Linked DNA regions of Xenopus tropicalis. The protein of the gene in region 1 purifies or fractionates together with the protein of each later gene. This does not show direct contact. Links are inferred from orthologs where the notes say so. Each region holds a gene or a part of one and is shown in the gene's direction. Other genes may lie near its edges.

Region 1 (3,500 bases):
TGGAGGAGAGAGTTCATCCATCACTCCCCTGGAAGAGGTATATTCTACCCCATATCACCCCCCAAGGAGGAAATACTTTCTATAGCTGCAATAGTAACCGCTGTACCCACAATCTTTTCTCTATCTCCTTGGCACATTATCCAGCAAGTTGCTGCCCAGTGCCCTACACCCATTATGTACCCATCAGCACCCTTACCCCACCAGTAGGGACCGCACTTCTCTGTAGCTTTCATTATTATTCATGACATGTTCCTACCATACTGTTGATTGATACTGATTAAGTCCAGCACTGTCCACAAGCAACTCCACTACCCCCCCCCCCCCACACACGCACACACACACGCACTTCTCCTTTTTTCTGGCTTTTCCATTAACAGCTCTATAAACGATTCGATATGGCTGATGGCCCCCCAGAGAGCATGGGAAGGGGACGAGACTGGAACGTGGATTTAATCCCTAAATTCCTCATGGCTAATGGTAAGCTCACATGCAGAGGGTGGGGGGATTGCATTGTGAATGTCGGTGTGTGGGGGCACCCTTCTATACAGCTTGGCAGTAAAGTGAAATCCTGTGGATCTACCAACAGTTCTGCTTTGGGGGTCCCAATCATTTTGCACCTTAGAGATTATTATATGGCAGGTTTGAATCTTTCATTTCTGCACAGTGGATTTAGGGGACCCCTCTCTCTATTTAAGGTCAGCTTGTGAAGATGCTGCTTTACACAGAAGTTACCCGTTACCTGGACTTTAAGGTTATAGAAGGAAGCTTTGTATATAAAGGTGGAAAGATCTACAAGGTGCCATCTACTGAGACAGAAGCGCTGGCATCCAGTAAGTGCCCTGGGGTTCTGGACAACTGGTGCTGGGTTGGGCATGGGCAGGTTCCAAAGGGTTCCAAGGTGGGTCTAGAGAAGATGATTAGGACTGCTGCTGAGATGGTTTGGACAGAGGCAGGTTCCTGGGATTCCAAGATGGTGGCATGGCCAGTTGAAGAAGTTCAGGTTCTTCTGATTCCACTGTAATGACTGGGCCTGGAAGATGAATAGCTCTGCTGCTAAAAAATTGGGCACAAGTGGGTTCTTAGGGTTCTATGATGGTGGAAACTCATTAGATGTGATGCTGGGGTGGATAAGGCAGGTTCCTAGGGTTCCAAGATGGGTCTAGAAAATGTTTAGGGCTGATGGACAGGGTCAGGTCCCAGGGTGCCAGTGATGGCTGGGCCAAGACAATAATTAGATATGGTGCCATTATCATATGAGCTGGTCCTGTTTTCTTAACTTTATTCTTTTCTGTAACTTCAACCCAGATCTCATGGGGATGTTTGAGAAGCGCCGGTTCCGTAAATTCCTGGTATTTGTAGCCAATTTCGATGAGAATGATCCCAAAACGTTTGAAGGGGTGGATCCAAAGGACACAACCATGCGTGACGTATACAAGAAGTTTGATTTGGGACAGGATGTCATTGACTTTACTGGGCACGCTCTGGCGCTGTACCGAACCGATGAGTACGCTGGGGCAGGATGATGGGGCATTCTGTAGGGTTTGGGCATAAGCTGGGGTTATTCCATCTCACTGCAGAATTCCATGTCATTCTATCCAATGAGCAGTCATGTCCACACTGTGACTAGATACAAACTGATAGAGGCTCTTTTCTTCCCATTTTCAGCTATTTGGACCAACCCTGCCTAGAAACTATCAATCGCATTAAGCTTTACAGCGAGTCTTTGGCAAGATATGGCAAGAGTCCCTACTTGTACCCTTTGTATGGGCTGGGGGAGCTGCCACAGGGCTTTGCCAGGTATGTATATATTTATTCTCCTAGTGTCATTAGTGTCTCCTAGTGCTCATATCCACCCCTCGGCCCCTCACTCCATCTCTTGTGCCTCCATAGAGAGAACTTGCCGCCCTAGGCCTCGGCCTTTATGGCCTCTCCACAAATCCAGGCCTGCTCATATCCATCCCTCTGCCCCTCACTCCATCTCTTGTGTCTCCATAGAGAGAACTTGCCGCCCTAGTCCTCGGCCTTTATGGCCTCTCCACAAATCCAGGCCTGCTCATATCCACCCCTCTGCCCCTCACTCCATCTCTTGTGTCTCCATAGAGAGAACTTGCCACCCTAGTCCTCGGCCTTTATGGCCTCTCCACAAATCCAGGCCTGCTCATATCCACCCCTCTGCCCCTCACTCCATCTCTTGTGTCTCCATAGAGAGAACTTGCCGCCCTAGTCCTCGGCCTTTATGGCCTCTCCACAAATCCAGGCCTGCTCATATCCATCCCTCTGCCCCTCACTCCATCTCTTGTGTCTCCATACACTCCTCCCCCTCTCATCCAAGAGCGTACAGGCCCCTCCCCTTATCATGGCTTCCCATAACCTTCCCCCCCACTCCTCTGCCCCTCACCCCATCTCTTGTGTCTCTATACGTTCCTGGCCGATTCCTTCGCTCCTCTCAGAGCAGCTGCTTGGTTGTAACCCCATTACTACTGCCATTTTAACGCTTTGTGCCTTGCTACCCCTTACATTGGGAATGGCACCCTGAATTCTCCCGGTGAGAATCCCCCCTCAGAACGAAACTCACAGACCCCCTCTTGGGGCACTTGCACAGCCCCTAATCTGGGAACTGGAACTTATATAGCTGTTTACCCACCGTAACCTGCAGCAGTTCACTTAGATCGTTAGCTCTATGGGGTAGGGATCTCCATCTTCTTGTCTCTTTGATCTCTAATGTAACTGCATTTGTTTTTATTTGTATTTATTATTGTTCATTACTGTACATCTAAGGAAACATGTATCTAAGGAAACATGTTAGGGTTACACACATACATGTGACCAATACGGGTAAGTAGTACATTACAGAGAGTACACTCTAACCCTAATACCCCGGCTGATGTGTTTCTGCCGTAGGCTAAGTGCAATATATGGAGGAACCTACATGCTGAACAAATCCGTGGATGAGATTGTAATGGAGAAAGGCCGAGTGGTTGGCGTTAAATCAGAGGGAGAGGTAAGGTTTTAGGGGCATTTTCAGTAAGTCAGAATTTCAGTGGGGTTGTTAGAAGGGTTGCAGTCAAGGCTGTTAGTGGGTTCAGGTCCCCATGGCTTCTCACTGTCACATCTAGCTCTACTGCCATTGTCTTGCCCTGCTGCATTGCTTTTGCCTCAAAGTATCTGTCTTGCCCTTGTTGCCATCTTGCAGTGCCGTCACCACCTTCCTCTAATGTCTGCATCCTGTTTCCATCTTGTCCTGCTATCTGTGTCATCTGTGTCTGTGCCATATTGGCTCACTTGTCTACATCTTCTCTCCATCTTGCCCAGCTGTCTCCATCTTGTACTGTTGTGTTCCATCTTGCCATACTGTCTCCATCTTGTCCTACTGTCTTTATTTTGCATCTGTCTCCATCTTGCCCTACTGTCCCCATCTTGCCCTACTGTCCCCATCTTGCCCTACTGTCCCCATCTTGCCCTGCTCTCTCAATCTTGCCTTACTCTCTCCATTTTGCCCT
Region 2 (2,766 bases), on another chromosome or scaffold:
GATGTGACCAGCGCAGAATCATTTGTCAATGTTAAACGATGGTTACATGAAATAAACCAAAATTGTGATGATGTATGTAGAATATTAGGTAAGTTTCTATTTTAACTTTCTAATTAACATCACTCCAATATAATGTTGGTGGGGTGGCGAACATTTATTTATTTGTTTTCTTATTTATTTAGTGGGTAATAAGAATGATGACCCTGAACGGAAAGTGGTGGAGACAGAGGATGCCTATAAGTTTGCTGCGCAGATGGATATCCAACTGTTTGAGACTAGCGCCAAAGAGAATTTAAATGTTGAAGAGGTAGGTCAGTTGCTACCTGCATTATACTCTGCTACATTTCCTGCTGGAGATTTTAGGGCACTGCTGCTTTTGTGGCACTGGATTGTGTAAGGGACCACATAAGAAAATAGCTGCAAAATGATTTCAGGCATGCAACCCTTATCTAAAGCAGGGATAATCCCAAGAAATGTGGTAAGGCTGTCAAGTGGTATGTAAATTAGATTTTTTTAAGGAGGTTTTCCCCTTTTTAAAGGGTGAAAAACACTTGTTTTGACATTCAGTTAGTGTCTACACCTTTTGTACATAAATCCATCTAATCTGCCAAATATATGTATTTTTTACAGACATACAGGATGCCTCAGGTTGAGAGGAAAATATGATGGTCTACCTCTCACTCATAGGTAGCATTTCCCTACTCTCTTAGGCTGACACAGCATGGGAAATGCTTAAATGGCATGCATAATGGCATGAATATTTTGTGCTTTTTAGAACTGATCCCAAGCCATGGCTATAAGTCCCTAACGTGCCCTTTCCAGAGTCAGGAAGGTGCATCTTGCAGGAAAGTGGTTCAGAGGGATTGTTTACATTTGAGTAAATGGAGATTGTGATCACTTGGGGGGCCATTTTACCAACGGATTTTCATTTATTGTTCTGATTTAGATTTTTTAGGGCTAAAAGTCGCTGAAGTCACGTAGAAGTCAATAGTAGACTTCCCTTCCCTGGTTTTTCTTTGCTTCTAAACTTTGATTCTGTGTTTTTTGTGTGACAGTTAAAAAAGTTGAGGTTTTGGTGCAAATAAAAAAAAAAAAAAGTCGTAGTTACCACTTTTCTGTGACTTTTTCCCACACATACACAAATGTCAGCCATTCCTGGAGATGAGTTTATTTTTAATGAAAAAAAAAGAGAAAAGTTAGGGTTTGCTGTAGCTGCACCAAGGGGCAGATTTACTAAGTCCGTGGCATTTCTATTCCTTTACATTCAGCAGTTGCTAGTAAAGGGGTGGGTTTTTCAAATTGTTTTTAGAAGTGTACACTTTTAGCATATTTCTAATTTCTCTTTCTTTTCTAGATGTTTAACTGCATTACTGAGCTGGTCTTGCGAGCAAAGAAAGACAACCTAGCAAAACAGCAGCAGCAGCAACAGAATGATGTGGTGAAACTAAGCAAAAACAGTAAACGGAAGAAGCGATGCTGCTAGGTGCAGGCACAGCACAGAGAGGCTGCTCTCAATCCGAACATTCGCTCTTGGAACAAAGAGTAGTAGTGCCATGGGCAGTGCCCAGCTTTCAGGGGTTGGGGCATATTCTTAGTTATGTGCTGTTTATTTAAGAATTTTCTCCAAGTTTTCTATTGAGGCGCTGGCACCCTTTTTATTGCTGTGCCAAGAAGGTGTTGTGGATTCTTGTCATCCCCTGCCACCCCTGCTCTTCCAGAGCGTCTGCTAGGAAAGGACGGATGCAGTGCCTACCCTATGGACTGATTAACAAGAGTCTGTACATACTGTATATTGTGTTAACCAGCCTCACTCCCCCCCCTGCTGCTTTCGCTTACACCTTATCGCCAGTCTGTCATGTGTGAATATGAACTGGTCACTTTTTAAAGTTTTTAGAACAGATGGCGTCTTAACTATGCCCTGCCCCTGGTTTCTTTACTACCTGATATGGTAAGATGGACCAGGCCTTGCTGTTAATTCACTTCTCTGCCCCCTTTCCTCACCATATTTAAAAACATGCTAAAAATCAACCATGCAGCTATTCCATTGTCCAGACCAGGATTTACGACTTCCAGCGTAATTCTGTTTTTAAACAACGGGTGGGTGGATCCCATCAATATTTCCACCTATTCAAGAACCATGTGAATTTAAGTAAAAAATTATGGAAAAAATCTGCCAAATTTTTGTACCATCTTGTTCATAAATAGGAACGAACTAATAAAATGTGAACCTCCGGGTCCTGATTTAAAGACAAAAAGAAAAAAAAAATGTAAGCATTGTTTGTGTAGCAACTGTATTGGTCCTGTGTGAAGAATCAAACCTCACAAGTGCTGGGCAGACAAACACTGAGACGGAAATTCATAGAAATATTTTATTTCAGTGGCTTTACAATAGAAAGCATAATTTGTACTAAAATAGGACATTTTTTCTGTATATATATATTAGAAAACATCTGTATTCATTAGAAAATGTCTATGTACACAGAGCATTTGTCAGTACATGGACTGGAAGGAACAGGTTTCTATGGTTCCGCTGTGCTCTGTCTGGAAGACCAGAGGTAGGACTCTGTTCCCTGCAACCCAAGCAGCTTGGGACATAATTAAGAAACCTGGAATTTCTGCTGCTAGTGTAACAAAGGAAGCTTGGGAGTGACTAGAAACAGGTAGCGCAAAGTGCAAAATATTCACGAAGGAGAAAATCCTCTTAACAAAAGCATTTTGATCTCACAAGTAGAAAATACATTTAATTGGAACAAAATACTAACACTT
Region 3 (3,500 bases), on another chromosome or scaffold:
CATACTATTCTGACTGACAAGTTCTCGATGCAAATATAAACCTTTACACTCTTTGCCTTCCAGCATGCATCCTCTGATGTTGAGAAAATGATCCTAGGAAACAAATGTGATGTGAATGAAAAGCGACAAGTTTCCAAAGAGAAGGGTGAAAAGGTAAGAGTTATTTAACAGTTTTGGTGTTCTGATATCTGAGCTTAAAACCCATTAAGCTGTGAATAGGTAAACGAGCTATGAGGTCCTGTTTGGGTACATTTAAAAATATATGAAAAATAAGTTTCCAAATGCTTTATAACAATAACCAATCTTTAGCCCTTTTAAGTAGAAGAAAACTCTGAGCATTACTCTGCCAGGGCATAAAAATAGTGCATATCCACTCGCCAATCATCCCCCCCCCAAAAAAATATATATATATTATATATATATATATATATATATATATATATATATATATATAATTTATTTATTTGGCTGGTGTCACATGTGCTTAATGTAAGTGCTCCTGTAGTCCAAATTAGACTTGACATATTAAAGGAAGAATGAAGAGAGGAATGATGTTGTCAGTGGGATATATGTGCAAGGATATTCAGGGCAGGGTCATGTTAATACATGTTAACAGTTTTGCATAAAATAAATATGGTGTTGGGCAATGGGAAAGGCTGAGCAATTGTTTCTCAGTTTCCTTGGACTTTAATTTAAGTATTAACCTCAGGAAAATAGAATCTGGTGCATTTTTTTGTTCATATAGTTTAGAATATTACCCAGTATGTAGTAAGGTGAATATTGAAAGAATGAGGCTAAAGGATAGAGACATAAGAATGTGGTGCATTTGTTTAAAATATTTAGAGAAAATATAGAAGCATATCCATTACCAATTTTTTTTTTTCTGCCTCAAATAACTTCAATAGCCAGCACAAAACAGCATGCACTCGTCGGACTCCAGGACAGCGGATAAAAATTCAAAAAAGCTTTATTAAGGATAAAAACCTAACGGTTAGGTTTTTATCCTTAATAAAGCTTTTTTGAAATTTTATCCGCTGTCCTGGAGTCCGATGAGTGCATGCTGTTTTGTGCTGGCTATTGAAGTTGAATCTCCCCATGCTGCGGGTCTGGGGCATGGCACCCGGGCCACCAAAAGGAAGTGGTGAGTGAGCATCCTGCATTTTGAACTTACATATGAGCATAAATTCCCCAGAACAAAGAGAGAAAAAAGTGATAAGCGAAAGGTTTGCGGCATAAGCACCCGAACCTACTAATTAACTGGGTGAGCGCGAGCGCTAATTGAAATATAAATCAGTTTTTTTTTATCTGTAGTGGGAAGGACTGTGAGCCCCCGAACAAGCAAATAGTACAGTGCCTCAAATAACTAGCAATATCACTGTTTGTATTTCAGCTGGCCCTTGAATATGGAATTAAGTTCATGGAGACAAGTGCAAAGGCAAATATCAATGTGGAAAATGTAAGTAGACTGAACGTGCTTAATTCAGTAAGCGGGGAGAGTAATGTTCATTGGTAGACACCCTTAAAGGAACAGTAACACCAAAAAAATTCAAGTGTATGTACTGCTGCTCTGCACTGGTACAACTGGTGAGTTTGCCTCAGAAACACTACTATGGTTTATATAAAGAATGCAGCTGTGTAGCCATGGGGGCAGCCATTCAAAGGAGAAAAGGCACAGGCACTTAGCAGATAACAGAAACACTATTGTATTCTACAGAGCTTATCCGTTATCTGCTATGTAACCTGTGCCTTTTCTCCTTTTTTCCAGCTTGAATGGCTGCCCCCATGGCTACACAGCAGCTTATTTATATAAACTATAGTAGAGTTACTGTAGCAAACACACAACTTTTACCAGTGCAGGGCAACAGTACATTATATTTCTTTTACTTTAAAACTCTTAAATTTTTTGGTGTTACTGTTCCCTTAACAATCAAAACAGGTTAAAGTGAAGAGTGGTCAGCAAACAATATAGTCATAGGTTTTCTATAGTCAAAAAGGCAGTGGGTGTTTTATAGAAGTCCGAGCATTTTTCTGCAACTTTCCATATTCTTTCGTATCGGCAAAAAAAAAAGAAAAATCTGTAGTGCTGTGTAGTGAGAAAAAACCACGCAACATGGTACTGTACCCTGTGCCTGATGGCTCTTCATTGATGCAATCATTACCCAGCACTATAGGACAACCAATGGGGCACCAGAAAACGCCGGGATATTTTTTGGGGTAGAATGTTAACTCCCAATATTTATAACAACCCTTCCATATGGCCTTTTTGTTGTCTGTTTTGCCTTTTTAACCCTTTGTGCAATGGACTTAGTAACAGTTCCACATGTCAAAATAGAGCCCTGAAACATAGAATCTATAGTGTTGGTATGATACTTTTATGCGGACACAATAGTAGTTCCAAAATGGAGGCCCAAAGCTGCATCTAAGTGGGTCCAGGTTATGGTAAGATTTGTGGAATACCTATGCAAGTGTATGTATGAATATGAGTTTAGGGGGCCGTAACCAGAAATAATAACCTATATGTGTCTGATCTTTGTGTGTTGTGATTTATGTATGTATTTATTCCTGGAGAATCTAAAATAAATTTTTGTATGTTTTTAAGAAACCTCCACTTTTACTTCATGTTTGGGGTCAGTGTTTTGCCAGTGTTTTCATCTTTCTATATAGAGATACAAAGGGGCACATTTACTAACCCACGAACGGGCCGAATGCGTCCGATTGCGTTTTTTCCGTAATGATCGGTATTTTGCAATTTTTCTGAAAATTGACGCAACTTTTTCATAGCCATTCCGAATGTTGCGCAAAATGTTGCGATTTTTTCGTAGCCTTACGACTTGCGCGAAAAGTCGCGACTTTTTCGCAGCTTTCGCGCCGAGTACGAAAGATTCAGATTCATTCAAGCTTCAGCATGGTGACTTTTCTTGGGCCAGGTTGGAGCTGCAGGGTGCCATTGAGTCCTATGGGAGGCTTCCAAAATCATGCTAAGTCTGAAAGTTTCGCCCGCCGCTTACGAGCGCTCAATACGAAAAAGTCGCGACAAGATACGAGCGAATCGTAATGGCTACGAAAAACTCTCGTTTTTTCGCGCAAGTCGTAATGGTTACGAAAAAGTTGCGACAATTTCCGAAAAGTCGTAAAGGCGACTAAAAAATCGCAAAAAATACGAAAAAGTCGCAAAATGTTCGTTTTCCAGTCGGAATTTTTCCAATTCGAATTCGTGTCTTAGTAAATCAGCCCCAAAGAGTGTTTATTGTTGTCTAGTACTTGTACTATATAGGCAAGAGATTAAAGGAATCACCCACTCATAGTATTGCTTTTGATATCAAGTTCTTCTATCTTTTCACAGGCATTTTTTACATTGGCAAGAGACATCAAAGCAAAAATGGATAAGAGGATGGTAAGTATAAGTATTTAATGGCTGCTTTGTGCTCCTGTGCCAGATATTGGTACTAAAAAGCAGGTATTTAACACTTAATTTCCCACACTGGTCTGGGTTTCATAGC
Region 4 (3,500 bases), on another chromosome or scaffold:
TATATATATATATATATATATATATATATATATATATATATATATATAATTAGAAAAAAAGACCAGCAACACCGGATCTATTGCAAACAATTAATTATATATTGAAAAATACATGAACAGCATATATATATATATATATATATATATATATATATATATATATATATATATATATATATATATATATATATATATATATATATATATATATATATATTATAATATAAATGGAAATGTAGCTAAAGTGTGATATGCATCTGTAATGTATCTCACAATTGTACACTGGTTTTTTTAAACCCACTTACTAATGCAGTGTATTGGAAAAGCTTGAAGGAACACTCATGAGTATTGCTCAGTTTGCCTTAAAGTGGTTTTTCACATTTGAATTAACTTTTAGTATGCTGTAGGGAGTGCTATTTTGAGACAGTGTGCAGTTAGTTTTCATTTTTTTATTTGTGGTTTTTGAATTATTTATCTTTTTGTTCAGCAGCTCTCCAGCATACTAAAAGTTAACTTAAAGGTGAACCACCACTTCAAATTTCACAATATTATATGCATTTGCAAAGCACATTTTAAAGGACAAGGAAAGCCTGTTTCACTAGGGGGTGCCAAAATGTTAGGATCCCCAAGTAAAATCAGTGCTTAAGTTTTTTGCATGTGTGTATAAACCTTATATAATTTTATGATTTACTAAGATGGAGTTGCTCTCTCTCTTCCCCCTATACTATATTCTGTAAGCATCAGCACAATTGTGTAGGTGGGACAGGCTTAGTTTATTCAACTTCACGCACTCTTTTTTTTTTATTTACAGGAATCATTTGCTAGAGCAAAGAACTGGGTAAAAGAGCTGCAGAGACAGGCAAGCCCCAATATTGTGATAGCTTTATCTGGTAACAAAGCTGATCTGGCCTCAAAGAGAGCTGTGGATTTTCAAGTAAGTACCGGTCTCTGGTTCCGCTTTCAATTGAACATCGTGGGGGCTTGACAATGTTCTAATTGGCTGAGGCACTGTTTACATTTGTCCTCCAGCCTAGCAGAATGTTGTTTCGCCCCAAGCTAGTAAGATTAGTGTGAGGTGGGGGGAGGCAGGGGTGTACATCTGTTAGTGGTGCTGGGGTTTACGTAGGCATAGTGACACATTCCTGTTAAAACCTGTCACTATCCCTTAAAAATGGACTATGGGAGATGGCCTTCCAATTATTTGGAGCTTTTGGAATATTCAGTTTCTAGATAAGAGATCCATACCTTTATAATCTACTAAAAATTCTGTAGCTAATTAAATTATTCTTTACTACCCTACTACTACTACTACCCCTCAGCAATGTGTCTCTCTCAACTTTATGCTGTAGTAGGATCTGTTGAAAGGCAATAAGCTTTATTACATTATGAATGCAGCAGTGCCACACGCAGGCAATGCTGTATTTATGGGGGTTGCTGCTGGTCTTTGTGCTCTAAAATGAGGTGCAGAGACCTGCAGACGTTCACCATGGGATGAAGGGAGGGAGCAAAAAAAATGGCACCCAAGTTGGTAAATGAGCCATATCGTGTAGGTAAAGGGACATCATACCAATGGGTTTGACAAAACGGCCAGTCTAAAGCTGCCCTAATTACTGCATGGAGCGAAACAGGAGTGGCTGCAACTGAATTTGATTTTTATTTTCAAAAATGATAGAGTTTTTAATTCATTATGTTTGTAAAGTTCCAACAGATACAGCTCACATTTTTTACCCAGCCCTTTAGCAGGGAAGATGCCCCAGTAGCTCCCCATCTTCTTTTCTATTAATTTTAAGCACATGCTCTGTGCTGCTGTCACTTTATGAGCTTAGGGACCGACACACAATTTACTGTATATAAAGAATATAAATGTCACAATATAAGGCTGGTTAGTAATAATTACAGTTAATTACTACATTGCAGCTCTGAAACCAGTGTACTTAGCAGAAATTTAATAAACAGTCCTGTAGCATCAGCTTATATTATAGGCCAACCTCATTGTCTGCTTCTGCACAGTTGCTTAGAACATACTCAGCATTTGCGTGTCGCAGACACTTTCCAAAATGGAGAGCTCCTGTGACAAGTTTGAAGTACTGGATCATTGCTGCTATTGAGATGCTGAAAGTTTAGGGCTGGTGCAGAAAATATACTATATAAATTATGGTACTTTTGTCCATATTAATTTCTCTAGTGGAGCATGTAATGGTGTGGAGAGGTCAGAGAGGCCCGAACACACCTGACACAAGTGAAACTATTTACTTTAGTTATATGATCACATTGCAAATTAGCTCTTAAGACTCAGTAATGTATTTTGGCTATGTTAGTCCTTTTGATAACTTTGTCTTGTTTTAATATAGTTCACTTCCTCAGGCTTATTAACCGTATCCGCATCATATACCTATTTAGGCCAGGTATTTGATAGCATCTGGTTTCCTGATGAATGACCACAAAATGCAACACCCAAGGTGGCTCACCAAAATGACATCCTTTCTCAAATTCTATCACCGTGTATAGAATAGAGCTGAGAATGCAAGTACCTCAAGATTCCAGCTCATTTGTATGTGAAGGCAGGAGAGCTGCTTGTTTTTAGTTCTTTCTTCCCACGTGTACAAACCAGTCATTTACTACCGTGCCCTTGTTTACTCTTTGCCTTTTAGCCTGGTTCTCCTTTACCCAATGCTCATTTTAGCTGGGGTATTATGCATTTCATTTTTACATAAGCTTCACTTATTTACTTTGCTCCAGTCTATGTATCTTTCATCTGAAAAGAATGTTGCTATGGTTGATCATTTTTACTTTGATAGACCCCAGGAATTTGGATTAGTATTAGAAGTTTTCTTCCTCCCTTTATTTTTATTTTTCCACTGCCTTTGATACTATAGACCCCCTCTCATTCCAGTACTCCAGTGGTTTAACTCTATTTACCTTAAATCGCATGCTAGTGATTAGGATGGGCAATTTCAGGCTGGAATTAGCATAACATTTGTGGGTTGCAGGCCTGCAACCTTACTGTGCCCCACTTCCAGCTGTCTCTATTTATAGTTGCGCGCCTGCCAAACCCTGTCCCTTCATGATGTTAGGGATAGGGGCAGATCTATAAATAGAGGTGGATTGTTGGGCTGGGAGCGGGCAGGTTAGGGTTGGATGCAAGTGAACTTTTTCTTGTCCCGCACATCACTACTAATAAAGCTTATGTCACCATGTGCATCAATGGAACAGGAAAGGGGACACCTACATAGACTAACAAAAAACTGTGCCACGTAGGTAAGTGATGCACATGTTGTAGCGCCCATTATTAAGCAGAAATTCTGGAGGAAAATGCTGCATACTGATTTGCACTTGCCTTTCATATTGCACTTTATCATCTCTGGGACCATCTTCACTGTTACACAGACATGACTGTGTCTGCTTTATCTTTTGCACTCTTGTATGTGTATACAATCTTTCCTTGGGTACCCTGCCAATGCTGCATAGAATTAGTAGCAGGCAATCACTGCAAGTGCTTG
Region 5 (3,500 bases), on another chromosome or scaffold:
AACCAGCCAAGAATGGCACACACAGTGAAAGTATGGCACACGCAGGCAGGGTAGGGAAGGCAGAGTATGGCAGACACAGGCAGGGTAGGGAAGGCAGAGTATGGCACACACAGGCAGGGTAGGGAAGGCAGAGTATGGCACACACAGGCAGGGTAGGGCAGGCAGAGTATGGCACACACAGGCAGGGTAGTGAAGGCAGAGTATGGCACACACAGGCAGGGTAGGGCAGGCAGAGTATGGCAGGCTTTTGCTGTACTACAACCATTAATATGGGTATGGTCATGTGATAACATGGGTGTGGTTTCAAGTGGGTGCGGTTTCAAAAAGGGGAGTGGTCAAAACTGGCTTCCATTATCGGCCCTCCACCACGTAGGTCGGAAAAATTCCGGCCCTCGGTACAACAGAAGTTGGACAGCACTGCTGTAGAGGCATAGTTAATCTATGTATTGGGTATTGTGAAATTTGTTGTTCAGCGAACTGTGGCAATCTCCATTTTTCTTTTTTCTAAATAAGAGATGAATGTACAACTGGGTCTTTTTATGTTGGAAAAGAGGAGCTTAAGGGGGATATGATAACTGTGTATAAATATGAGGGGATCGTAAAATAACCTCTCTAAGGCTTTATTTACCAGTGATCCAGGGACTGGTCCGATTGCCATCTTGGAGTCAGGAAGGAATTTTTACCCTCTGAGGCAAATTAGAGAGGCTTCAGATGGGGTTTTTTTTGCCTTCCTCTGGATCAACTAGCAGTTAGGCAGGTTATATATAGGCTTAAAGATTGAACTTGATGGACCTGTGTCTTTTTTCACCATAACTTACTATATTACTGTAAATACTATATTTCTTTTGAAAGGTATTTCCTAGCTTCCCTTAAAGGTGTATCTGTTTCTGCAATTTTTTCTAAATATGTTCCTCTGTATTTCTAGTTATGAAACTAAAGTAATTTTGTTGATGCTTAAACTTTTGCTACCTCAAAAAAATAACAAGTCCATTTTAAGCCAATATGGAGAAAAGAAAGACTTGACAGTCCTCTTTTCTTTAAAAGCTTGAGAAGCAATCAAATAGCAGTTATGAATGAAACCAGCTTGATTCTTGGAGTTCAGCGTAACTGAATTGTAACTCTTAACATGTGGCATATGTGGCTTCAAAGAACTTTGCACTTTAAGCAGCAAATTGTTCAGATGCAGTAATGAGACAAGCTGTAGAGATGTTTTGGCTAAATCTAAACCTTAAGGGCTAATTTATCAACATATTGAGTTTAGTGGTTTTAGAGTTTTTTGAAATCGGGAATAAACACATTTCCACAAAAACCACAAATGTCTAGTCATTTATTAAAAGATCCAAATATAAAAAGCATGAATGATTTAAAATTCAGAACCAAAACCATTAATTTTTCATGTTTTTTCCTGCATATTCTATAACAGCACAAATAAAGATTGTTACAATTTGCATAGGACAACTACCACTAACTTCAACATGACCTCAACAACTTTTACCTTTTACATGGCAAGGTTTTGTATTCGTTTTAGTGCAAAAAAAAAAAAAAAAAAGGAAAAAAACATGGATTGTGGAGGAATAAAAAGGAAATACTTAGTAAACTCCCCCCTAAGGAGGACACCTAATAGAAAGCAGATAAGGCAGTAGAATGTACCTCAAATAAAAAAACAAAAACTCACACACATTCAAAGATTATCACTATCAACAGCATGATTAAATTGCATCATAAATAGAGCCAGCTGTAGGATTTAATAGCATGAGATACCTTAGTGCAGATTCCCATTAGTTAGTGTTGAACACTGGGCTCTGTGTGGCTGGAGAAAGGATTTGTTGATTTGTTTCCTTGAATCTCCTTCACAGCGGCATTTCTCACACAGTCTGTCTGCCTGGATGACACAACTGTAAAATTTGAAATCTGGGATACAGCAGGACAAGAGCGATACCACAGCTTGGCACCCATGTATTACCGGGGAGCACAGGCTGCCATTGTGGTATATGATATCACAAACCAGGTAAGGGACTATATTCACAAAAGGCCTTTACTCTAGCACTGAAGTGCTGCTGAAAGCATGGGACTACCTCGTCCTAGAAAGGATTTTTCATTGTGTACTTGCTCTACAGCAGTGATGCCCAACCAGTGGCTCGTGAGCCACATGTTGCTCTCCAACCCTTTGGATGTTGCTCCCAGTGGCCTTAAAGCAGGTGCTTATTTCTGAATTTCTGGCTTAGAGGCAAGTTTTAGTTGCATAAAAAACAGGTGTACTGCCAAACAGAGCCTCCTGTAGGCTGCCAGTCCACATAGGGGCTACCAAATAGCCAATAACAGCCCTTATTTGGCACCCCCAGGAAAATGTTTTATGATTGTGTTGCTCTCCAAGTATTTTCACATTTGAATGTGGCTCATGAATAAAAAAAAGGTTGGGGATCCCTGCTCTACAGGGTAGAGATCTCCTTCTTACTTTTTCTCTAACATAATGAGCTGCATTTTTAATTCTGATTTAGTTGGCAAACCAGCAGCAAATTACTTAGTTTGTATTTTGTATTTGCCACAAAAGCTTTGAATTGCACTATTCAATGAACACTTTCCTATAGCATTTCTAATTTGAAACACATCTACATTTTGAGTTTGCTTTTCATTTGTATTCTAGTAGTAGACCTCCATCATAAGTAAGAAGTTTAAAGAGCTTTTGGGAATCAATGGCTTAGATCTCCGGCAGCACACTGCTTGCTGGTGGAAATCTGAGCCATGAATTTCCAATAAAAGCTTTTTAAACTTGTTAGTTTTGATGGTGCTGTGACACCTAGTACTAGTTTTTGATACAGTTGATGTGCAGACAACATATAAAGGGCACCGAATAATGAACAACAGAAGAGTGGTGAGTGCTGACTAATCTACACAGTTGTATTCATTTTATTCTGCAGGAAACATTTGCCAGAGCCAAGACATGGGTAAAAGAGTTACAGAGGCAAGCCAGTCCTAACATTGTGATAGCTTTGTCAGGGAACAAGGCTGACCTCACTAGTAAACGGATGGTGGAGTATGAAGTAAGTAGTACTTTCTGTCACCTTTCTTAATTCATATTGTATATTCTCTAATATTTATGTATCAGTACCAAATTTAATTTAGTTAGAGGTTCTGAAGATAAAATTTGTAGCTTAAAATATTTTTCAAACATACAAGCAGTAAATACCTGCTTAAGCAGTTTGTCCTATTACCTCCATCAGACCAGGACTGGGATTCAAATTAAGCTCTGGCATTTCATGTACACAGAATCCCAAACAGCCCCCCACCAGCCCAATAAATAGTGACTGTCTATGGCATCTTACAGCAGCCCCTCCGGCATTTGCCAGAATCCACAGATTGCCAGTCTGGGCCTAGCTTCCATAAGTTTAAAAAAAAAAAAAAACATTTAAAAGAAATGAACCAAGAACAGTAGAAAAAGAGAACTGAAGAGGAAAAAGACACGATGGCCATGTTCACTTATGCAAAGGCACATAATGAGA
Region 6 (3,500 bases), about 9.6 Mb from region 1:
GAGCTTACAATCTAAGGTCCCTATCACATTCCCATCAGTCCCTGCCCCAGTGAGCTTACAATCTAAGGTCCCTATCCCATTCCCATCAGTCCCTGTACCAGTGAGCTTACAATCTAAGGTCCCTATCACATTCCCATCAGTCCCTGCCCCAGTGAGCTTACAATCTAAGGCCCCTATCCCATTCCCATTAGTCCCTGCCCCAGTGTGCTTACAATCTAAGGTCCCTATCACATTCCCATCAGTCCCTGCCCCAGTGAGCTTACAATCTAAGGCCCCTATCACAGTCACACACATTAGGGGCATAACTGTATATACATATAAGTACAATATGGCAGGTACTGTACCTGAGCCCAAGGCTTTGGAAGAAACCATCTCCCCCCCCTGGTGCTGTCTCTTGGCACTGCCCCCGCCCAATATCCCATAGCCGGGATTAAACCCATCCATTATGTATGAGCCGCCCGACTCCCCAGCATCTGCCATGTTGTTTTTTTTTTTTTTTAGTTAATAATGTTTATAGTGATTTTTGTGACTTGACTTGCTGTTTATTTCCCGCTATCAACGATTTTAACCCATGTTTTACTGGTACTGCCAGTAGCAGTTACTTAGTAGTGCCATTGTCCGTACATTTCACTGCTGGTTCTGACTACTGAGGCCTGTAAAGAAGCGAAGCAGCCCTGAGCTGTGTATGGTTAAAGGCAGGGCCCAAGGGGCAGCCGAGTGGAAAATGGAAAGTAAACATGTGTAAAGGGGAAGCTGTCACAGCAGGAAGTGCGTAGTTCTGTAAATAAGGGCAGGTTACCTATTGGGCCGGATCGGCTAATGTTAGTATTGGGGGGAGGACACTGTGGGTAAGTTACCGTCTCCTCCCCTGAGGCTATGGGGGATACATATTAACCCTAAACACCTGGAATTGATACACCCCCATGGGGGCATTGCTCCATCAGACCTGCTATAACCCAATCTCTGTACCCGCACAGTTATGGCCGACTGCCCCCATACGATCGGCGTGGAATTCGGCACCCGGATCATCGAAGTCAGCGGGCAGAAAATCAAACTGCAGATCTGGGACACAGCGGGGCAGGAGCGGTTCCGGGCCGTCACGCGGAGCTATTACAGAGGCGCGGCCGGGGCACTTATGGTCTATGACATCACTAGGTGAGTGGCGCCATCCTGCCCCTGGTACGTAGCCACTTGGCCAGCGCTGGTTGCTAATGAGATCGCTCTATTGGTTGCTTGCAGGAGAAGCACATACAATCATTTAAGCAGTTGGCTGACAGATGCACGGAACCTCACCAATCCAAATACGGTAAAGTCCAACCCAAAATCCACTGGCTTTGTACTGTATGTAGGGGGGGGGGTACTACTACTTCCTGTCCTAAACCATCCAACCATGTGACACTTTCATATGGAATGGATGAACCCCAGGGGTTTCCGTATGCAGGGCTAGAAGCCAAAAAATCCAACAATTCTCTATTGTTAGTGGTTTCTGGGACACTTGCAGTTTAAGACTGCTAATACCAGACTTGCAGCCCACTCGGTAGGTCAGTGTCAGCGACCCTTTGTGCACTTCCTGCATTTAGTTAACCCTATGGTTGCCGACTGAGACTTTCCGAGAGAGCTGCTGAGCCAAAAGCCCAGTTTTAGCAGTCTAAAACTGCAAATATTTAAGCAACCACTAACAGCCAATAACAAGGGCATTTCCCCTCTCGCTCGCAGGTTATCATCCTTATAGGAAACAAAGCAGATCTAGAAGCTCAGAGGGACGTTACCTACGAGGAGGCAAAGCAGTTTGCTGAAGAGAATGGTGAGTTCTTACCTCATTGCCATAGGGAGCTAGGACCCTGAGCCAACCCCATCTGTGGCCAAGTCTGTAGGATTTACCCCAATGTCCCCCAACAGATTGCACCGGGGAGGGTAAATGCTACTTGCTGATTGGCTGCTTTGGGTTACTAGCCCCGGTTTGCCCTTTGTTGATTGGTTTGTCAGATGGTACAGTCATTTTTGTTTTTGTATCTCCCACAGGTCTCCTGTTCCTTGAAGCAAGTGCAAAAACGTAAGTACATTTTGCTTTTCTTATCAGGTGGCCAATCCTATCTTTGTTCCTGTAAAAACCTCCAGAACTGAATCCTGGGAATGGTACATCCCAACATCCCCCCCCCCCCCATGTGCCCAGTAAATAGGCCATTCTGCCAATGGAAAGAGACCTTTCGTTTTTATTTCTTGCCCTAAAATGCTCAGAACAGTGACATTCAAAGCACTTTCTGATTGTTATTATACATGTTGAAGCCACCTTGCTTGTGGGAGGGGTCCCGTAGGATGCTTGTGGGGCCCTGTAGGATGCTTGTGGGAGGGGCCGCCCCGTAGGATGCTTGTGGGAGGAGGGGCCCTGTAGGATGCTTGTGGGAGGAGGAGCCCTGTAGGATGCTTGTGGGAGGAGGGGCCGCCCCGTAGGATGCTTGTGGGAGGAGGGGCCCTGTAGGATGCTTGTGGGAGGAGCCCCCCCGTAGGATGCTTGTGGGAGGAGGGGCCGCCCCGTAGGATGCTTGTGGGAGGAGCCCCCCCCGTAGGATGCTTGTGGGAGGAGGGGACCCCCCCCCCCCCCGTAGGATGCTTGTGGGAGGAGGAGCCCCCCCCGTAGGATGCTTGTGGGAGGAGGAGCCCCCCCCGTAGGATGCTTGTGGGAGGAGGAGCCCCCCCCCCGTAGGATGCTTGTGGGAGGAGGGGCCCCCCCGTAGGATGCTTGTGGGAGGAGGGGCCCCCCCGTAGGATGCTTGTGGGAGGAGGGGCCCCCCCGTAGGATGCTTGTGGGAGGAGGGGCCCCCCCGTAGGATGCTTGTGGGAGGAGGGGCCCCCCCGTAGGATGCTTGTGGGAGGAGGGGCCCCCCCGTAGGATGCTTGTGGGAGGAGGGGCCCCCCCGTAGGATGCTTGTGGGAGGAGGGGCCCCCCCGTAGGATGCTTGTGGGAGGAGGGGCCCCCCCATAGGATGCTTGTGTCTCCCTTCCTCATCCTCAATATTGCAAGATTTGCATCTCTCACAATTGAATGCCCCCCCCCCCCCCCCGGCTGCTCCCACAAACCCCCCCTGATTGGCCCTTTCTTTCCTTCCAGAGGGGAGAATGTGGAAGACGCATTCCTGGAGGCAGCCAAAAAGATCTACCAGAACATCCAGGACGGGAGCCTCGATCTGAACGCAGCGGAATCTGGCGTACAACACAAACCGTCCGCTCCCCAGGGCGGCCGACTAACCAGCGAGCCCCAACCCCAGAGAGAAGGCTGCGGCTGTTAGTGACGTCCCCCCCCCCCTTCCTACCCCCGGCGGTGGCAGTTCGTTTCTTGACCTTCCCCCGCTCTGTCTGTCCCAAGCAGTATTTTGTTACTGCCCCATTATCTTCTGTACATTCTATTGGTTTAAATTAAAGGTGGGAGGGCGGGGCTCTGCTAAGACGACAGTTTAACCCGATACTAAACTGCTAAATAACTAGATGTATTCAGGTTATTC
Region 7 (4,250 bases), on another chromosome or scaffold:
GCTACTGTGTATGGGGGGGCACTGTGTATGGGGGGCACTGTGTATGAAGGGCTACTGTGTATGGGGGGGCACTGTGTAAGGAGGGCTACTGTGTATGGGGGGGCACTGTGTATGGGGGGCACTGTGTAAGGAGGGCTACTGTGTATGGGGGGGCACTGTGTATGGGGGGCACTGTGTAAGGAGGGCTACTGTGTATTGGGGGCACTGTATGGGGGGGCACTGTATGGGGGGGCACTGTGTAAGGAGGGCTACTGTGTATGGGGGCACTTTCTATGGGGGCATTGTGTATGGAGGGTACTTTCTATGGGGTGCTGTCTATTGGGCCATCGTGGGCACTATTTTAACTATTTTAAAAATGGGGTGTGGCAATTGGGGCGTGGCCAAAATTTTTGGGAGGTATGCACTACCCCTGCCCTATGCCTCCTCTCCAGTTACTGGCATGGCTGATGTTTCCCTGCCCTCTGTGCCCAGTCCATGAGGTTATTGTAGTTTTGCAGCTTCAGCAAAGAGGAATAGAAAAGGGAGCTTCTGTCTACCCAATTGCATGCTGGGTAATGTAGTTTTATATTAATCTTATTCTGTAGGCTAATTGTAAGAGACAAACTACATTACCCAGCATGCACTGAGATGCAAGGGGAAACAAATCCTTGACTAGTTCCCAAACTACAAACCTGCCAAGACTCCAAAAACAGTCCAAATTTGTACCTTGTTGGGTTTGTACTTTGGAAACCCGCCCAATAAGTAGCCCAATTTGGTGGAAAACCCGCCAACCTGGCAACCCTGCCCCTCCCCGTCTGACTTTGGTACCGAACCGTGATTGTCATGTAACTGCCTAATGTATAAAGTTGGATTAAGAAAAAAAAAATCCCTTAGGAGACAGGCGGTAGCGCGCAAACCATCAGGCTGAGGGGAGTGGCCGCCATTTTGTTGACTGCATCGCAAGGTGGGCGGTGCCTGCTCTGTTGGGACGCGCAGAGGCCAGCATTCAGCCAGTGTATGGTTGCGCGCTCCCGCGGTGGGCGGTGCCTGCTCTGTTGGGACGCGCAGAGGCCAGCATTCAGCCAGTGTATGGTTGCGCGCTCCCGCGGTGGGCGGTGCCTGCTGTGTGGTGACGCGCAGAGGCCAGCATTCAGCCAGTGTATGGTTGCGCGCTCCCGCGGTGGGCGGTGCCTGCTCTGTGGGGACGCGCAGAGGCCTAGGGAGAGGCCTGCATTTAGCCAGTGTATGGTTGCGCGCTCCCGCGGTGGGCGGCGCCTAGCTGTGGTGAGTACGCGGAAAGTCTGTGGGAGGGATAGCCATTTTGTCCGGAGTCTCCCAGCGAGGCCGGAGAGGAGGGGCTCAGAGAAGGTGGGAAGAGGCCGGGACAAGCAGGCGGCACTTAGCGAGCCGAGAAGCGCACTGAGCTGGGTGTGGGGCCGCCGGCTTTCTTTCTCTTTTCCCCTGTGTGTGCGTGTGCTTCACCCGGTGCTGGGGGCACCCTCCGGCCGGACAGTCTCCCGTCCCGTCCCCGCTGGGCCTCCCCGCCCCCCCGTGTATGAGGAGCCGGCCGAGCCGAGGCCGCAGCCCCAGGCGGAGGGAGTGAGACGGAAACAGTGCCCATGGCGAAAAAGACGTACGACCTGCTCTTCAAGCTGCTGCTGATCGGGGACTCCGGGGTGGGCAAGACCTGCGTGCTCTTCCGCTTCTCGGACGATGCCTTCAACACCACCTTCATCTCTACCATCGGTAAGCGCAGGGGGGCCCGGGTGGGCTCATTGGCTATGGGGGGGGGGGGCTTTGCTCCTCCCCTTGGGTCATCTGAGAGGGGCAACTTCGGGTTTGATGGGTAACTGACAGTAGGCAACTAACCTACATGGGGCATTGCCAGCTGTCCCTATGGGCATATTGACTGGTCCCTATGGGCATATTGACTGGTCCCTATGGGCAGCTGATAGGGACATATTGACTGGTCCCTATGGGCAGCTGATAGGGGCATGTTGACTGGTCCCTATGGGCAGCTGATAGGGGCATATTGACTTGTCCCTATGGGCAGCTGATAGGGACATATTGACTGGTCCCTGTGGGCATATTGGGCATATTGACTGGTTCCTATGGGCAGCTGATAGGGGGACATTGACTTGTCCCTATGGGCAGCTGATAGGGACATATTGACTGGTCCCTGTGGGCATATTGGGCATATTGACTGGTTCCTATGGGCAGCTGATAGGGGCATATTGACTGGGCCCTATGGGCAGCTGATAGGGGCATATTGACTGGTTCCTATGGGCAGCTGATAGGGGGACATTGACTGGTCCCTATGGGCAGCTGATAGGGGGACATTGACTGGTCCCTATGGGCAGCTGATAGGGACATATTGACTGGTTCCTATGGGCAGCTGATAGGGGGATATAGACTGGTCCCTATGGGCAGCTGATAGGGGGATATTGACTGGTCCCTATGGGCAGCTGATAGGGGCATGTTGACTGGTCCCTATGGGCAGCTGATAGGGGCATATTGACTTGTCCCTATGGGCAGCTGATAGGGACATATTGACTGGTCCCTGTGGGCATATTGGGCATATTGACTGGTTCCTATGGGCAGCTGATAGGGGCATATTGACTGGTTCCTATGGGCAGCTGATAGGGGCATATTGACTGGTTCCTATGGGCAGCTGATAGGGGGACATTGACTGGTCCCTATGGGCAGCTGATAGGGGGACATTGACTGGTCCCTATGGGCAGCTGATAGGGACATATTGACTGGTTCCTATGGGCAGCTGATAGGGGCATATTGACTGGTTCCTATGGGCAGCTGATAGGGGGACATTGACTGGTCCCTATGGGCAGCTGATAGGGACATATTGACTGGTTCCTATGGGCAGCTGATAGGGGGATATAGACTGGTCCCTATGGGCAGCTGATAGGGGGATATTGACTGGTCCCTATGGGCAGCTGATAGGGGCATGTTGACTGGTCCCTATGGGCAGCTGATAGGGGCATATTGACTTGTCCCTATGGGCAGCTGATAGGGACATATTGACTGGTCCCTGTGGGCATATTGGGCATATTGACTGGTTCCTATGGGCAGCTGATAGGGGCATATTGACTGGTTCCTATGGGCAGCTGATAGGGGGACATTGACTGGGCCCTATGGGCAGCTGATAGGGGGACATTGACTGGTCCCTATGGGCAGCTGATAGGGACATATTGACTGGTTCCTATGGGCAGCTGATAGGGGCATATTGACTGGTTCCTATGGGCAGCTGATAGGGGGACATTGACTGGTCCCTATGGGCAGCTGATAGGGACATATTGACTGGTTCCTATGGGCAGCTGATAGGGGGATATAGACTGGTCCCTATGGGCAGCTGATAGGGACATATTGACTGGTTCCTATGGGCAGCTGATAGGGGCATATTGACTGGTTCCTATGGGCAGCTGATAGGGGGACATTGACTGGTCCCTATGGGCAGCTGATAGGGGCATATTGACTGGTCCCTATGGGCAGCTGATAGGGGCATATTGACTGGTCCCTATGGGCAGCTGATAGGGGCATATTGACTGGTCCCTATGGGCAGCTGATAGGGGCATATTGACTGGGCCCTATGGGCATATTGACTGGGCCCTATGGGCATATTGACTGGGCCCTATGGGCATATTGACTGGGCCCTATGGGCATATTGACTGGGCCCTATGGGCATATTGACTGGGCCCTATGGGCATATTGACTGGGCCCTATGGGCATATTGACTGGGCCCTATGGGCATATTGACTGGGCCCTATGGGCATATTGACTGGGCCCTATGGGCATATTGACTGGGCCCTATGGGCATATTGGGGACATTGACTGGGCCCTGTGGGCAGCTGATAGGGGGACATTGACTGGTCCCTGTGGGCAGCTGATAGGGGGACATTGACTGGTCCCTGTGGGCAGCTGATAGGGGGACATTGACTGGTCCCTGTGGGCAGCTGATAGGGGGACATTGACTGGTCCCTGTGGGCAGCTGATAGGGGGACATTGACTGGTTCCTATGGGCAGCTGATAGGGGGACATTGACTGGTCCCTATGGGCAGCTGATAGGGCCTGGTAGGTCTGTGCCACACACAGACAAGTTAGAAGTAAGTAACCATTGTACTGCCCCATGTACAGACATGTCAGTGGGCTACAGACCTTATGTTACCCCTGTTAGGAGTCACCTGCTCACAGAGCCATAGTCGCTGGGATTCGTCTCCCTGTTCCCAGCCCTCACTGGTGGATTAGCACTTTCCTTT

What was found.
Region 2: the proteins of gdi1 (region 1) and rab35 purify together in Homo sapiens (affinity purification with mass spectrometry; 3 studies listed by BioGRID and IntAct, counting the BioPlex papers as one, with this or other methods). This does not show direct contact. The link is inferred for Xenopus tropicalis from reciprocal best matches to the Homo sapiens genes GDI1 and RAB35.
Region 3: the proteins of gdi1 (region 1) and rab8a purify together in Homo sapiens (co-immunoprecipitation; 6 studies listed by BioGRID and IntAct, counting the BioPlex papers as one, with this or other methods). This does not show direct contact. The link is inferred for Xenopus tropicalis from reciprocal best matches to the Homo sapiens genes GDI1 and RAB8A.
Region 4: the proteins of gdi1 (region 1) and rab5a purify together in Homo sapiens (affinity purification with mass spectrometry; 3 studies listed by BioGRID and IntAct, counting the BioPlex papers as one, with this or other methods). This does not show direct contact. The link is inferred for Xenopus tropicalis from reciprocal best matches to the Homo sapiens genes GDI1 and RAB5A.
Region 5: the proteins of gdi1 (region 1) and rab5b purify together in Homo sapiens (affinity purification with mass spectrometry; 3 studies listed by BioGRID and IntAct, counting the BioPlex papers as one, with this or other methods). This does not show direct contact. The link is inferred for Xenopus tropicalis from reciprocal best matches to the Homo sapiens genes GDI1 and RAB5B.
Region 6: the proteins of gdi1 (region 1) and rab14 purify together in Homo sapiens (affinity purification with mass spectrometry; 3 studies listed by BioGRID and IntAct, counting the BioPlex papers as one, with this or other methods). This does not show direct contact. The link is inferred for Xenopus tropicalis from reciprocal best matches to the Homo sapiens genes GDI1 and RAB14.
Region 7: the proteins of gdi1 (region 1) and rab10 purify together in Homo sapiens (co-immunoprecipitation; 4 studies listed by BioGRID and IntAct, counting the BioPlex papers as one, with this or other methods). This does not show direct contact. The link is inferred for Xenopus tropicalis from reciprocal best matches to the Homo sapiens genes GDI1 and RAB10.

What each region holds. Positions count from the first base shown.
Region 1 is NC_030684.2:153,597-157,096, forward strand, and holds part of gdi1 (rab GDP dissociation inhibitor alpha), read left to right. Parts: coding exon 1-37; intron 38-377; coding exon 378-477; intron 478-695; coding exon 696-830; intron 831-1,305; coding exon 1,306-1,504; intron 1,505-1,665; coding exon 1,666-1,797; intron 1,798-2,901; coding exon 2,902-3,001; intron 3,002-3,500. UniProt on the Homo sapiens protein: Regulates the GDP/GTP exchange reaction of most Rab proteins by inhibiting the dissociation of GDP from them, and the subsequent binding of GTP to them. Promotes the dissociation of GDP-bound Rab proteins from the membrane and inhibits their activation.
Region 2 is NC_030677.2:151,500,747-151,503,512, reverse strand, and holds the end of rab35 (ras-related protein Rab-35), read left to right. Parts: coding exon 1-88; intron 89-182; coding exon 183-307; intron 308-1,354; coding exon 1,355-1,483; 3' UTR 1,484-2,266; downstream 2,267-2,766. UniProt on the Homo sapiens protein: The small GTPases Rab are key regulators of intracellular membrane trafficking, from the formation of transport vesicles to their fusion with membranes.
Region 3 is NC_030677.2:104,435,911-104,439,410, forward strand, and holds part of rab8a (ras-related protein Rab-8A), read left to right. Parts: intron 1-63; coding exon 64-153; intron 154-1,390; coding exon 1,391-1,456; intron 1,457-3,343; coding exon 3,344-3,394; intron 3,395-3,500. UniProt on the Homo sapiens protein: The small GTPases Rab are key regulators of intracellular membrane trafficking, from the formation of transport vesicles to their fusion with membranes.
Region 4 is NC_030682.2:45,585,571-45,589,070, forward strand, and holds part of rab5a (ras-related protein Rab-5A), read left to right. Parts: intron 1-811; coding exon 812-934; intron 935-3,500. UniProt on the Homo sapiens protein: The small GTPases Rab are key regulators of intracellular membrane trafficking, from the formation of transport vesicles to their fusion with membranes.
Region 5 is NC_030678.2:137,846,644-137,850,143, reverse strand, and holds part of rab5b (ras-related protein Rab-5B), read left to right. Parts: intron 1-1,856; coding exon 1,857-2,008; intron 2,009-2,918; coding exon 2,919-3,041; intron 3,042-3,500. UniProt on the Homo sapiens protein: The small GTPases Rab are key regulators of intracellular membrane trafficking, from the formation of transport vesicles to their fusion with membranes.
Region 6 is NC_030684.2:9,756,468-9,759,967, forward strand, and holds part of rab14 (ras-related protein Rab-14), read left to right. Parts: intron 1-977; coding exon 978-1,155; intron 1,156-1,239; coding exon 1,240-1,306; intron 1,307-1,716; coding exon 1,717-1,804; intron 1,805-2,022; coding exon 2,023-2,053; intron 2,054-3,109; coding exon 3,110-3,287; 3' UTR 3,288-3,500.
Region 7 is NC_030681.2:154,267,814-154,272,063, forward strand, and holds the start of rab10 (ras-related protein Rab-10), read left to right. Parts: upstream 1-1,450; 5' UTR 1,451-1,598; coding exon 1,599-1,725; intron 1,726-4,250. UniProt on the Homo sapiens protein: The small GTPases Rab are key regulators of intracellular membrane trafficking, from the formation of transport vesicles to their fusion with membranes.